Regions from separate parts of the Mus musculus genome. Here region 2 is reported to be linked to region 1. Evidence: microRNA targets listed by miRTarBase, many of them from high-throughput screens and not tested one by one. Region 1 holds a microRNA gene; the other region holds the end of a gene's coding sequence.

The links. The annotated mature microRNA mmu-miR-1906 reads UGCAGCAGCCUGAGGCAGGGCU and lies in region 1 at 4,402-4,423, shown strand. An mRNA with a match to its seed (bases 2 to 7 or 8) in the 3' UTR can be bound and repressed. Matches are read on the target gene's strand: a 7mer-m8 pairs with bases 2 to 8, a 7mer-A1 pairs with bases 2 to 7 and ends in A, and an 8mer does both.
Region 2: the mRNA of Spsb4 is a reported target of mmu-miR-1906. Seed matches in the 3' UTR shown: 7mer-m8 at 3,070-3,076, 7mer-m8 at 3,073-3,079, 7mer-m8 at 3,076-3,082, 7mer-m8 at 3,079-3,085 and 7mer-m8 at 3,082-3,088.

Annotation. Positions count from the first base shown.
Region 1 is chrX:88,756,395-88,763,907 of GRCm38, reverse strand. It overlaps Mir1906-2 (microRNA 1906-2), which reads left to right and starts at 4,355; the gene lies at 4,355-4,434. It also overlaps the pseudogene Gm8876.
Region 2 is chr9:96,939,238-96,946,750 of GRCm38, reverse strand. Spsb4 (splA/ryanodine receptor domain and SOCS box containing 4) reads left to right here. Exons shown (of 3, transcript NM_145134.3): 3 at 2,047-3,269. The coding sequence ends at 2,174. Among named protein-coding and RNA genes, the nearest start is that of Gm51657, 46 kb to the right of the region's middle.

The DNA of each region.
Region 1 (7,513 bases):
AGTGACCCTAAAAATTCCACCAGAGAACTCCTAATCCTGATAAACAGCTTCAATGAAGTAGCTGGATATAAAATTAACTCAAACAAGTCAATGGCCTTTCTGTACACAAAGGATAAAAAGGCTGAGAAAGAAATTAGGGAAACAACACCCTTCTCAGTAGTCAAAAATAATATAAAATACCTTTGCGTGACTCTAACAAAGGAAGTGAAAGATCTGTATGATAAGAACTTCAAGTCTCTGAAGAAAGAAATTAAAGAAGATCTCAGAAGATGGAAAGACCTCCAATGCTCATGGATTGGCAGGATCAACATTGTAAAAATGGTTATCTTGCCAAAAGCATTCTACTGATTTAATGCATTCCCATCAAAATTCCCACTCAATTCTTCAACGAATTAGAAAGAGCAATCTGCAAATTCATCTGGAATAACAAAAAACCTAGGATATCAAAAACTCTTCTCAAGGATAAAAGAACCTCTGGTGGAATCACCATGCCTGACCTAAAGCTGTACTACAGAGCAATTGTGATAAAAACTGCAAGGTACTTATATAGTGACAGACAAGTAGACCAATGGAACAGAATTGAAGACCCAGAGATGAACCCACACACCTATGGTCTTTTGATCTTTGACAAGGGAGCTAAAAACATCCAGTGGTAAAAAGAGAACATTTTCAACAAATGGTGCTGGCACAACTGGCGGTTATCATGTAGAAGAATAAGAATTGATCCATTCCTATCTCCGTGTACTAAGGTCAAATCTAAGTGGATTAAGGAACTCCACTTAAAACCAGAGACAATGAAACTTATAGAGGAGAAAGTAGGGGAAAGCCTCGAAGATATGGGTACAGGGGAAAAGTTCCTGAATAGAAGAGCAATGGCTTGTGCAGTAAGATCGAGAATTGATAAATGGAACATCATTAAGTTGCAAAGTTTCTGCAAGGTAAAAGACACCGTCAACAAGACATAAAGACCAACAAAAGATTGGGAAAGGATCTTTAACTATCCTAAATCAGATAGGCGACTAATATCCAATATATATAAAGAACTCAAGAAGGTGGGCTCCAGAAAATCAAATAATCCCATTAAAAATTGGGGCTCAGAGCTGAACAAAAAATTCTCACCTGAGGAATATCGAATGGCAGAGAAGCACCTGAAAAAATGTTCAACATCCTTAATCATCAGGGAAATGCAAATCAAAACAACCCTGAGATTCCACCTCACACCAGTCAGAATGGCTAAGATCAAAAATTCAGGTGACAGCAGATGCTGGCGTGGATGTGGAGAAAGAGGAACACTCCTCCATTGTTGGTGGGATTGCAAGCTTATACAAGCACTCTGGAAATCAGTCTGGTGGTTCCTCAGATAATTGGACATAGTAATACCAGAGGATCCCGCAATACCTCTCTTGGGCATATATCCAGAAGATGTCCCAACTGGTAAGAAGGACACATCCTCCACTATGTTCATAGCAGCCTTATTTATAATAGCCAGAAGCTGGAAAGAACCCAGATGCCCCTCAACAGAGGAATGGATACAGAAAATATGGTACATCTACACAATGGAGTACTACTCAGCTATTAAAAAGAATGAATTTATGAAATTCCTAGGCAAATGGATGGACCTGGAGGGCATCATACTGAGTGTGGTAACCCAATCACAAAGGAACTCACACAATATGTACTCACTGATAAGTGGATATTAGCCCAGAAACTAGGATACCCAAGATATAAGATACATTTTGCTAAACGCATGAAACTCAAGAAGAACGAAGACCAAAGTGTGGACACTTTGCCCCTTCTTAGAATTGGGAACAAAACACACATGGAAGGAGTTACAGAGAAAATGTTTGGAGCTGTGACGAAAGGATGGACCATCTAGATACTGCCATATCTGGGGATCCATCCCATAATCAGCTTCCAAACGCTGACACCATTGCACACACTAGCAAGATTTTGCTGAAATAACACAGATATAGCTCTCTCCTGTGAGACTATGCAGGGGCCTAGCAAACACAGAAGTGGATGCTCACAGTCAGCTAGTGGATGGATCACAGCGCTCCCAATTGAGAAGCTAGGGAAAGTACCCAAGGAGCTAAAGGGATCTGCATCCCTAGAGTGGAACAACATTATGAACTAACCAGTATCCCTGAGCTCTTGACTCTAGCTGCATATGTATCAAAAGATGGCCTATTCGGCCATCAGTGGAAAGAGAGGCCCATTGAACTTGCAAACTTTATATGCCCCAGTACAGGGGAATGCCAGGGCCAAAAAGTGGGAGTGGGTGGGTAGGGGAGTGGGGGGGGGTATGGGGGACTTTTGGGATAGCATTGGAAATGTAAATGAGGAAAATACCTAATAAAAATTAAAAAAAAAAAAGAAAAATAAAAGAATAGAGGGGAAAAAATCTTGAAAAGAAAAAAAAAAAGAAAGAATAATAAATAGGTAGAGTACAAACGTGGGGGGGCGTTTAGGACATTAAGGTCAATTATTTTATCATAGAAAAAAGGTAAAGTCAAACTGGGAAGTGTTTGGTCTCTCCCCATGTGATTACATCCTGTGTGTAGAGGGAAGATCTTTAAAGTCTAAATGATAGGTGTGATAAAATGGAGCAAGAAGGATATTTAAAATAGTTGGGAAAATGTTCTCAAAGCGACTTAAGATATTTCTAATTCCAAATATTTATGAATCTAACAGAAGGAAATATAAGTTATGCCACACAGATAATACAGAAGACCATAAAGGATAATACTGAAAACAGTTACTTAAAAAAAACAAAAACAAAAACAAAAACAAAAACAAAAAATTAATAAGTCTGAGCTTTCTTTCTTACAGGAACAGAGCAATAAAGGAAAGAAAATAGAACTATTTAAAATTCTGAAGAATGATAACAAATACAGTTAAATTATGTATAAATACAGTAATTTAAAATAACTAAAATGATTTTCAGATATTTAGGAGAGGATGATTCTAGAGATTAGCAATAAAGCAAATATTAAATGTTTTTCTTCAGGAAAAAAATTATTCCATGAGGAAATACGACAATATGTAGGAATAACATATTTTGTCAAGCAACAAAATGAAATATTTAGAATGATTCTCAATGATATTATTTTAAAACTCTACACAAAATAAACAATCCAAAACTTATATGTAGCTCTGTATCCAGATTACCTGTTTCTTTTTGTCCCATGGTAAGCAACATTTCATAAACACTTAGAAAATTGACCTATTCACTACCACGAGAATATCCTGTTCAAGAGGAAAGAACACACCTCCCCGACTTGCAAAACACTTCACACATTCAGAGTGGTATTCACTCAAGGCCACACAGGAATAAGCATGTGCATATAAATAAATAAATAAATAAATAAATAAATAAATAAATAAAGTACCTTTTCCTGTTCTTGATTAAAACAGAGCATTATCTTGTCTTAAATGGAACAAATCATTTTCATATCAATATCATTCAAGTTGATTACATAGACACACTGGGATTCAAGTGCAAACAAAGAAAATAAAATGAGAGAACAACAAGAAAACATTGAATTCCTACTGGTGCAGTAGTTTTATGAACATTAGAAAAATAATCAAGACAGAAGACGAAGAGCTGGAATAGAGCTCGCCTCGGCTCTGCTGGCCTTGGCTGCAGCTCTTCCAGAAACCCGGGGCGCCCACAGAAGAATCTCTTACCTGGCTCTCTCTTCAGGGATGACATCATCGGCTCACACCAGTCTTCCAGGACCACCTTCTGGATGCCAAAGCTGCTGCTCGAGTACCTGCTGTGCACCTCTACCTCCTGGTACCCCAGCCACTCCCTCAAGTTGCCTGCATGTTATATGGCCTAGCCAAGGAGCACGGATTCCAGGAACCCACTACCATACAGAGCAACTCCTTGTGGACCCCCCTGGGATCAGGACAGCGAGGGACAAGCGACAAAGAGGATCATCAGTGGCCAGCTAGTTTCTCTGGGGTTCAAACCTTGAACCAGTGCCCTAGTGAGGGGGCACTGGCCATGGCCCTTGACCTTTGCTCTGCTTGTGTCTTGAGTCTGAGCCCTTTCCTGTACATCTGTGCTCGTGTTCATCTGCTAGTGAACTGGAGTGCTGCCCTCCCCGAGGAGGGTCGTCCCTTGTGACTGATCATGCTGTCCTAACAATGTCCTGAGCAAAAGGGTCCCTTTGGGAACCTCTCAGGAGGGGGACCCGGGTCAGGGGCGACCAGCATCTTGCTGGCAACTCCGTGGGTGGGGTGGGGTGGGGTGCTTCCTTCTGGAATGAGCACGTGGCTGACCCCCCAAGGCATGTCCCCTCCCCCTCCTCCACCCACCTTCTCGGAGATGTCCCTTTTGGGGTAGTGGGGACATTAGGAGCAACCTCCTAGGGTTGTTGTGAGAATTAAATGAACTGCAGCAGCCTGAGGCAGGGCTGGGCAGAGACCTCAAAAAAAAAAAAAAAAAAAAAAAGAAAAATAATCAAATATATATTCTATTTGATTTAAGGCCCACTCCATGATGCCAAGAGCATTTGACTAAGTAGATTATAGTGGTTAGAGGAAAATTCTTTTACTATTAATTTAATAAATGAGTACAGTAATAAAAAGAACCTTAATAATGTATTTCTATACCCATGGATCAGTGTAATGTTCAAATTTCATCAGAGAAACTTCTTAAAATAGATTGTTATTAACACGGAGACTTACAAATGGGTAACATAGATCAGACAGTGGGAGATTTTTGAGTGCTTAGCCCTTAGTGTGATATTCATATCTTTATCACACCTGAATGCATAGATCACTGAATGTTAGGGGAAACCCTAACATTCAGGAATCTATGCAGAAGATTTTAAGAGCTAGAGTTGTCAGGCAATGTTAAGTAAATAGTGTTTTCAGATATAACAGGGCAGATGCACATCATAAGTGATCTCACTGAGTTTGTGAGAGCATAAAGAAGCTCAGGCAGACAAAATCAAAGCATGGAGGAGAGAAGGGGGGCATAAAGCAATGCTCCTAAACAAAAAGTTATTTGCTACAGATAGCTGCTATGACAAAGAAAATCAGTTTTCTTCACTGGAGTGACACTGGGTATATCAACCACATTTGTGTACTGTATCCATGCTCAAAAGTAATTTGCCAAACCAAATTTGACTCCCTGTTTTGTGGTATTTTTTGTGGTAATTTTTTAAGAGACAGAGCATGAAATTGGGTTTGTAGGGAGAGTAAGAATATCTGGGAGGAATTTGAAGTTTTGAAATGTTATGACAAAAATATATTCTCTGTATTATTAAGGAACATTTAAAAGAAGAAGAAGAAGAAGAGGAAGAAGAAGAAGAAGAAGAAGAAGAAGAAGAAGAAGAAGAAGAAGAAGAAGAAGAAGAAGAAGAAGAAGAAGAAGAAGAAGAAAATAGTACAATGATGCACTCTCAAGTGGTGATTAAGGATACGACTATTTCATTGTGAGACTTATGAGAAATTATGGCTATTGCAAACTTTCACAGATTTTCCTTATAACTTATACATTTTAAATGAATAAAAGCACTTAGTATGTTTAAAATAATTTTAAAGGCTCGAATTCATAGTTTAGGAATAGCAATCTGCTATAATAAATGGAAAAGCTTTTGCAATCATATTAGAAATTAGTCATGTATATAGTTGAGGAATAATCCCAATACTCATCAAAATGGAATTATTTATCAATGTACTATAATCACTATGTGTCAAAATCTAAACATCTCACATTATTGGTCATTATCTCCCTGAGATTCATACACTTGTTATTTCAAGCAAACTATTTGACTTCTGCTTACTTGTTATTAAATGTTAGAATATAAATGGAGTAATTAAATGTAATCTTTTGTTTAAAAGGAGGAAAGGCTTAATACAAATGACAATTCATACCCAGGTTCAAACCTTATAAAACAGGGACTGTAAAAATGTCATAGCATATCATAGTGCTGAAAGCCATGACCTACGGATGTGTTTTCTTAGAGTATTTTCTTTTCTCTACTTTTTATGGTGGCACCTATCCCTGCCCTCTAGAAGGATCTTTTGTGCTTGTTTATATATGTATTCTTTATTTACATTTCAAATGTTATCCTCTTTCCTAGTTTTCCCTCTGAAAATCCCTTATCACCTCCCCCCCTTCCCCTGCTCCACAACTCATCCACTCCCTCTTCCTGGCCCTGGCATTCCTCTATACCAGGGCATAGAATCTTTAAAGGACCAAGGGCCTCTCCTCCCATTGATGACCAACTAGGCTATCCTCTGCTACATATGCAGCTAGAGACACGAAAAACAACATGAACTAACCAGTACTCCAAGAACTCTCTGGTACTAAACCACCAATCAAAGAAATCTTTTGTGCTTGTTATCATCTATGCAATATTTGAAGCTTATGAGCAAAAGTTTTCCACCTTTATTTTTCATGGCATAGCTTCAAATGGCTAGAGTTGCTTTAATGGTTACACATTCATATATTTTTTAGTATTGGCTTAAATATAGTTGGTGTATGGTTTTGTGAGTGTTTTTGTTATGACAAGTTTCCAATCTTATATTACTCAATTAGAGGGTTATGTTCTGAGAGATACAACTTCAAGTGATGTTGATTTTGTCATTATGTAAACAATATAGTGTCTTTATACGAACTAATATGACTGTACTGTCATTATACAATGCGATATTATGTAACATATGTAGTTGGTAGTTATGTAAAATATGTTTATGCAGTACAGGACTAAACCCTATTTTTTCCCAATTTGTTTCAGGCTTACTTTATATACAGAAAAATAATTATGCTTTTAAGATTCTGATCATTAATTTCCATGCCCTTATCTTGTAATCAAGGACCAAAATGTGGCTCTACAAGAGTAGCATGAGCTGTTAAGCACTGAGCCAATTCTCCAGCCTCAACTTATTCATTTTTTTAAACTTTTTATTAGATATTTTCTTTATTTACATTTCAAATGTTATCCCCTTTTCTTGTTTACTCTCCAAAAACTCCCATCATAATGTAAATGTTCAAGGATTTTCTTCCATGTCACCCAAGGATTAGTTCCATAAGATAACATTACTCCACCTTTGAGTTTACTATTAAAACTGTTGCTTCTGAGAAGAGAACATGAATCTTTTTAAAATGTAAACATTGTAAGCTATGGATAATTTGGAATAAATGCTCATACCTCAATGAATTTTGATATCTGTTATCCATCTTTACAAATATAGCGCCAGGCAGAATTACTAGAGAAGTGAATGCAGGAAATTGAGGACAGGAAGAAAGAGTCTGGCCCTGGGCAAAAAAAGACCTAACAAGCAAGAAGAATCAGAGTCCTGTTGAAAGACCCTTGACAGAGAACCCACCCAATAAAATGACCCAAGAGAAACTTGAAGAGGCAAATTCCATTGGCCAGGACCAGACACTCACGGAGCATGTTGGAGAGGGTGGTGCGCCAGAGATTAATTGTAATGGAGTGATTGGAATCATTAATTACCCAGAGAACACTAATAATGAGACACTGAGTCTTAA
Region 2 (7,513 bases), not on the chromosome of region 1:
CCCTGGGTAGCCTCCTTTTGTATGAGAATCAAAAGATAAGAGGAGAAAGTGAAGCTACTAGCCTGCGGTCTGGCCTCAGCAAAGGACAGCAAGATGTGGCCTTGGATGTATTATCTGGCCCTCATGAGAGTCCCACTTGGATTCCGGTGGTGGCCCATTAGAACTGCACCTCTCGAAGAAGTTCCCTCGAACCCCAGCTGCCATTGCTCGCCCCTCCCTCCTGATACCATTCCCACACAGCGGACCATTTGTGTTTGCTCCTTATAATTTGACCACAATCCTACGTACTCTGTTGCCAAAAGAATGCTTAGAACCAGGCAGTGGTGGCACACGCCTTTAATCCCAGCACTTGGGAAGGCAGAGGCAGGTGGATTTCTGAGTTCGAGGCCAATCTGATCTACAGAGTGAGTTCCAGGACATCCAGGATTATACAGAGAAACCCTGTCTTGAAAAATAAAAAAAAAAGAAAGAAAAGAAAAGAAAAGAAAAGAAAAGAAAAGAAAAGAAAAGAAAAGAAAAGAAAGGATGCTTAGCTGTAGCGCAAAACATCGAGGCCATATGTCAGTCACAGGTGAATAGGACCACTGTCATCTTCTTTCTCCACTGGTCTGTTTCAGCTACCAGCCCTGTCCCTGCCCTCAGCTTCCCTGTCTCCCTGATCCCTGATCCCTGTCTGTTTTCTCTACTTGTAACACTGCCCAGCCTCAGTGTGCCTATAACACTCCTACCCATACTTCAAAACCCTATTCAGGTTTCTCTCCTCGAAGCTTTCAGGAAGCTGCCTAGTTTCTGTCCCTTTGCGCTCAGAATTCTTTCCTATATTAACACTTTTAAAATAATTCACTTGCTGGGGCTGGAGAGATGGCTCAGAGGCTAAGAGGCTGCTCTTCCAAAGGACTAGGGGTTCAACTCCCAGAACCAACATGGTGGCTCCTAACCACCTGTATGTAACTTCTGTTTCAGGGGATCCGACACCCTCTTCTGGCCTCTTTGGGCACAAGGCTAACAAATGATACACAGATATACATGCAAGCAGAGCACCATGCATGCAAAATTAAAAACAAAAACAAAACCATTCATTCACTTAAAAATCTTAGGTCATAAGGAAATCCCAGACCACAAGCTCACCTCCAGGGCTGGCTCTGGCCCTGGCTGAGTTGTCTCTGTATCCCTAGGATTACCACAGGAAATGAAAGAGGAAAGAATTAATATGTGTATCTGCAGTGAGCTGGTGTAACTCAGTAAACTGTCCTGTATCGAGAGGTGCCAGCGCACCACAGTGGGCGTATGGAGGTCAGAGGGCCACTTTGGGGAATGGGTTCGCTCCTACCATGTTGAGTCAGAGTCTCATCTGTTTTCCATCTCTACACTGGTGTGCTGGGCTTACAGATGCCCGCAGCTGCATCTGGATTTTTTAAGTGGCTTCTGGTGCTCACTGTCAGGTTATCAGGCTTGTGTGGGGAGCACTTTTATCCCTCGAGCCACCTTCCAGGTCCCTGGTGGATTTTAACTTACCTCCCTTCCCCCGTCCCCCAGAACTTGAGTGCTGTAAGAAAATGTGTCCTTCCATTGCCCATCATAAACACTGGAGGGAAAGCGTGTGGGTTTGAAAGAATCTCAATAGCCTGGTGGAATCTAACCTGTCTGCTTGCTTGTTTTGAGACGGGATCTGGCTGTGTTGCCCAGGCTGGTATTGAACTTCTGGGCTCAAATGATCCTTCCGCCTCAGCCTCCTGAGTACCCTGAGATAAATCATCCTAAACGTTTTGAGCCACACATTCTACATCAGAACTTACCCTGGCAGTGGATAACTTTGTTTCCACTATTCATCTTTAAATACCACTATTTAGCGGTTGTTCTAAACGTTATAGTCTGAGCAGCTGCAGCTGCCTTTCATAATCATTGCTGAGTGCCTCTTACTGCAAGCAGGGATGGCTCTTCAGTAGCAGGGAGCACTGAGCCAGCTCAGGGGCAAGGGTAGGCAGCAGGCAAGCTAGGCGGAGTGAGGAGGTGTGGGCACTCACGCTTGCTTCACTGTCTTTGCAGCTGAGCCTCTGCCGCTGATGGACCTGTGCCGGCGATCCATCCGCTCAGCCCTGGGCCGACAGCGCCTGCGTGACATCGGCTCCCTGCCCCTGCCTCAGTCTCTGAAAAACTACCTGCAGTACCAGTGAGCGGCGCTGAGGATCGGCTGTCATCTGTGGTCACACAGCTCCAGAGCGTCAGGACACATCAGTGACTTGGAAAAGGAATGCCTGTTGCCATTGCTGCCACCGACCAGGACCAGGAGGCCACCTCGTGAACCAGAGTGTAGAGACCATTATCTTCCTCAAGAGAATGAATAAAACATTGGGCAGGAGACGGCATCCAGTTAGTTCCCCACTGCAGACAGACCCAGGAAAATTGGCCAGTGGAGAGAAAATGGGTTCTGAATAATGAATGACAGAAGCCAGCCCTTGATGGTCTCCTCCACGCCTGCCCCTGGCCAGGGCAGAGAGACTGTCCTCCATTTTAAGACTTGGTACCACTTTGAGAGATGAGTCCAGGGTCCCACAGCAGGGCAAAAGCACCTGGCCTTACCTCTCTGAGCCGGTTTCCTCATCCCCTCCTGCCCTCTTCCGTCATGGATAAAGTTCTTTGGCCATTCCCCTCCCCACTTTATTCAGGGACATGAATCTGATGACTTGCCCTGGGGACAGAGTTTCTTCTTGGGTATGATCATTGTAAGTAGTGTTTGCATTTTTTTTTTTTGAAAGAGGAGTGTGGTGAAGGTGGCTTTCTCCCAAAGGTGCTAAGGAAGATGGGGCCCTCGTGACACCAAGTCTGAGACACCCTGAGTATCCAGGGCTCTGGCAGCCATCATTCAGGGTGAAGCCTGGCTGTCACAAAGCTTTCTTTGAGCAAATTATTTTTTCACTGTAGGAGACTTCCAGTTTGTTTCTCGTTTCCAATATGTGTGTGATGCACCGTTTATTTATCAGCTGGGGCCCCGCGGTGTGGCCTTGGGACTGCAAAGGTGGGTATAACAGTCTCTGCAGGACCTGAGACCTATCCTCTCACAGAATGTTGCTGCTGCTGCTGCTGCTGCCGCCAGCGCCACCATTTGGCATCTTTTGTGTGTTCCAAGATACCCTCCACCCAGACTCAGTTTTAACTGGAAATCATCACAGAGTAGGATACAGAGCCAGACAGTGCAGCCTACACTGTAATGTGAATGTGACCTACAAGCAAGGAACATTTCTAATAAAAGTTTGTCATTCTGTCCTTCAGCTGTGTGTAAAGTGCTCTATCCATCATCCTCCCTGGTCTGTCCCCAGATCCACAGACATCAAACCTGGGAGTGCCTCTCTGTACACACACACACACACACACACACACAAACGTCCACATTCGAACCCCAACCACAGAGATGTAGAGACCCGATCTGGAAGACACTCTGTCCCCAGGATCTTCAAAGACTCCTATAAGCCCTGATGCTGAAGCCTTAGATGTTCAAGGTGACCAGAGTCAGTCAGGGTAAACCCAAGACCTGGCTCTGGGGCTGAATGCAGTTGGCCACCAGGGAGCAGTGCTGGTTGCTGCAGAGCAAATGAGGCAGAGTTAAGCTGAGCTCTGCTGGGGCTGGTAGCAGGTTAGCAGTTAGGGACAGGAAGGGGACTATGTCAGGACCAGTACAGGATTCACTTAGCAGCATCAGCCACCCATATACCACACCACACCAGACTCTAGGGCAGTGTCAGACTGATGTCTCTGTCCTGGGTGGGGACATTTACAGTTTGTTGTAAGACCTTGAGGAACTCAGCAGGAGGAGGAGGGGAGGGGAAGAGACAATTTCTTGTGATCAGAAGAGCGAATATGAGACACACGTTGTCTGCCCACCCTGAGGCTGGAGACAGGATAGGAATGGCGTCTCCAGGCTGCAGGCTCTAAGCACCTGCCTGGCCACTGACTGACTCAGCTGCCAAAGCGTTCAGTTGTTGTGGTTGCTAAAAGCAGCTTCCGGGAGAGGCACAAGCTTGGGCACTGGTCGGGAAGCCTGGGTTGGGGTTCAGGCTTCCTTGTTTATACACAGTCACCTTGGGTAAGTCACTTTCCCCTCTGGGCACAAGGAGCTTGACCAGGTAGCCAGTGACTGACTAAGGACCGTCCCTCTCCCAGCCTCTAGGGTCCAAGTTTCAGCACCACTTTCCATTTTGGAAGAAGCCCTTTTGTCTCAGCTCCTAAGCTTCGTGGCTTCTCTCATTCTAACAGTGCCTTCCCTCCCTCACTTCACCCTCTCATGATTAATGAGATCAGCCTTCATCTAGACACCCCATAACCACCCACCAGTGTCTTCCTGCTCTGAGCTATCAGTTCTGAGCATGTATCTCCCGGCACCAAGGACCCTATTCTGAGCACTTGTATTGGGTCCTATCTGCCCTTAGCCTCATGGATCCAGCAGGCTGTGGGTCTCTGGAGGGCTGGGCCGGTGCCTATACCTACAACAGCCTCGTAGGTCAGACACATCAGCTCTGCAAAGGCCTGTAGAGGAGCGGGACAGATAGAATGTCCTCTGCAAACTGGGACACCCAGAGGAAACTGCAAGGGAAGAGCTCAAGTAGCTCAAGTAGGGATGAGGTCCTCCCAGAGCTGAGGACCGACCCCTAAGTTCTCCTAAGCTCCCTGTCCTCTCGTGACCATACCTACAGCACTATCCTGAAATGACTGAGTCCTGGCCCAGCTTTGCCAGACCTCACAGTCTAAGGGGGAGATAAAGATGGCCCCCAAGCAAAGAAGCAGCATGGTGTTCGAGGGGATGATGGGGTGAGGTGGGGGCTAGGAGTCAGGCTACAGAAAGCCACTGGGGAGTTAGGTACTGAGTCCTGACAAGGAGCTAGACAGGTGAGAGGAGGCAGAACATTCATACACATGCTTTAAAAAACAAACAAACAAACAAAAAACTTGAAAAAATGTTGGATACAGCAGCAATGGATAGGAGACAAAACCACATCCAGCTATCTTTCCATAAACTACAATCGTTGTCTGTTAGCTGTCCTGTGTGAAGTATCCTGGGGTGCTGCTTCTGCACATCTCCCTGTCCATGATGGCCTCAGGCCCAGAGGAGAGCACCCTAGCCTGCTATGCTGTGGCTGGAGGCAGCTCCCTGGTTCTAACAGGCTCCAGGCCAGCACTGTGGCCCTGGCCTTTCCATCATGGCTGCTAAACAGAGCCCAGGCTAGATCAACAGTCTCTATCTCCAATGCATTTTCTTTTAGGGAAGAAAGGTACACATATTCTGAGGGGATAAGTGTGCAGCCTAAGACAATCGCATCCTCCTTCACCTGCACGGTGTTATTCTTCCTGTCTTCGGTGAAGTGTTGCTCAGGCGTTGAGCTTACAAGGAATGTCCTACACATAATCACCTACAAAATTCATGCTCCAGGATCATACAACTGGGGGGGTTTTATATAGTAAAAACACAATGTTTAAGTAAGTTCTCACATTTGTGTTGGGCCACATTCATAACTGCCTTTGGTCACATGTGGCCTGCAGTCTGCAGGCTGGACACGCATGGGACACACGCGGGAGTCTAGAGCACCATTGGCACAGCGTTTGCTTTCTGAGAACTTTGACTCTAAGGACTCAGGCTGGTTCCACATGAGCCTTGCCACATTTGCCTCCGAGTGACCCTGGACAGACCCTTTTCCTCCTTGCTCTTTTATCTGCAGTATGTCACAAGCACAATCCATATGCCAGCCTAAAGTCCTCAGATCTGTCATATCCTTTCCTGCCTTGTAAAGATTACGCTTTATCAGAGAGCTCAGCAGACTCATTAGCACTCTGGTGGTCGACCTGAGAATGGCCCCCAGAGGCTCATATATTTGAATACGTGGTTTCTAGTTGGTGGAACTGTTTGGGAAGGATTAGGGGTGTGGCTTTATTAGAGAAGGAATGTCAGTAGGAGTGGCCTTTGAGCTTTCTTCTCTCTCTCTCTCTCTCTCTCTCTCTAATTAGATATTTTCTTTATTTCCATTTCAAATTTTATCCCCTTTCCTCATTTCACTTCCGAAAACCCCCCATCCCATCCCCCCTCCCCCTGCTCACTAACCCACCTACTCCTGCTTCCTTGTCCTGGCATTCCCCTACACTGGGGCATAGAGCCTTCACAAGACCAAGGGCCTCTCCTCTCATTCATGTCCCACAGGACCATCCTCTGCTACATATGCAGCTGGAGCCTTGAATCCCTCCATGTGTATACTTTGGTTGGTGATTTAGTTCCTGGGAGCTCTGGGGGTACTGGTTGGTTCATATTGTTGTTCCTCCTATGGCACTGTAAACCCCTTCAGCTCCTTGGGTCCCTTCTCTAGCTTCTCCATTGGGGACCCTGTGCTCAGTCCAATGGATGGCTGTGAGCATCCACTTCTGTATTTGTCAGGCACTGGCAGAGCCTCTCAGGAGACAGCTATATCAGGTGCTTGTCAGCAAGCTCTTCTTGGCATCCACAATAGTGTCTGGGTTTGGTAACTGTATATGAGATGGATCCTTAGGTGGGACAGTCTCTGGATGGCCTTTCCTTCAGTTTCTGCTCCAAACTTTGTCTCTGTATCTCCTCCCATGGGTATTTTGATCCCCCTTCTAAGAAGGACCAAAGTATTCACACTGTGGTCTTCCTTCTTGAGCTTCATGTGGTCTGTGAATTTTATCTTAGGTATTCCAAACTTCTGGGCTAATATCCACTTATCAGTGAGTACATACCATGTGTGTTCTTTTGTGATTGGGTTACCTCACTCAAGATGATATTTTCTAGTTCCATCCACTTGCCTAAGAACTTAATAGCTGAGTAGTATTCCATTGTGTAAATGTACCACATTTTCTGTACCCATTCCTCTGTTGAAAGATATCTGGGTGCTTTCCAGCTTCTGGCTATTATAAATAAGGCTGCTATGAACATAGTGGAGCATGCGTCCTTATTACATGTTGGAGCATCTTCTGGGTATATGCCCAGGAGTAGTATATCTGGGTCCTCAGTACTGAATGGCTGAGAAGCACCTAAAGAAATGTTCAACATCCTTAGTCATCAGGGAAATGCAAAACAACCCTGAGATTCCACCTCACACCAGTCAAAATGGCTAAGATCAAAAACTCAGTTGACAGAGGATGCTGTCGAGGATGTAGAGAAAGAGGAACACTACTCCATTGCTGGTGGGATTGCAAGCTGGTACAACCACTCTGAAAATCAGTCTGGCGGTTCCTCAGAAAATTAGACATAACCTTTGAGCTTTCAAAAGCCATTCCTCATTAGGTCTCTCTGCCCAGTGCTTGTGGATCAGATGTGAGCTCTCAGCTGCTATTCCAGCGCCATGCCTGTCTGTCTGCTGCTATGTTCCCTCCCATTAAGTGTTCTCTTCCATAAATTGGCTTCATCATAGTGTTTTTGCTTTGGCAATAGAAAAATAACTAAGACAAGCTCGTCCTGAGGCTCTTGCTAAATCTACCTGTCTCTTAATTCCTGTGAGCACATACCTGTCAGCCC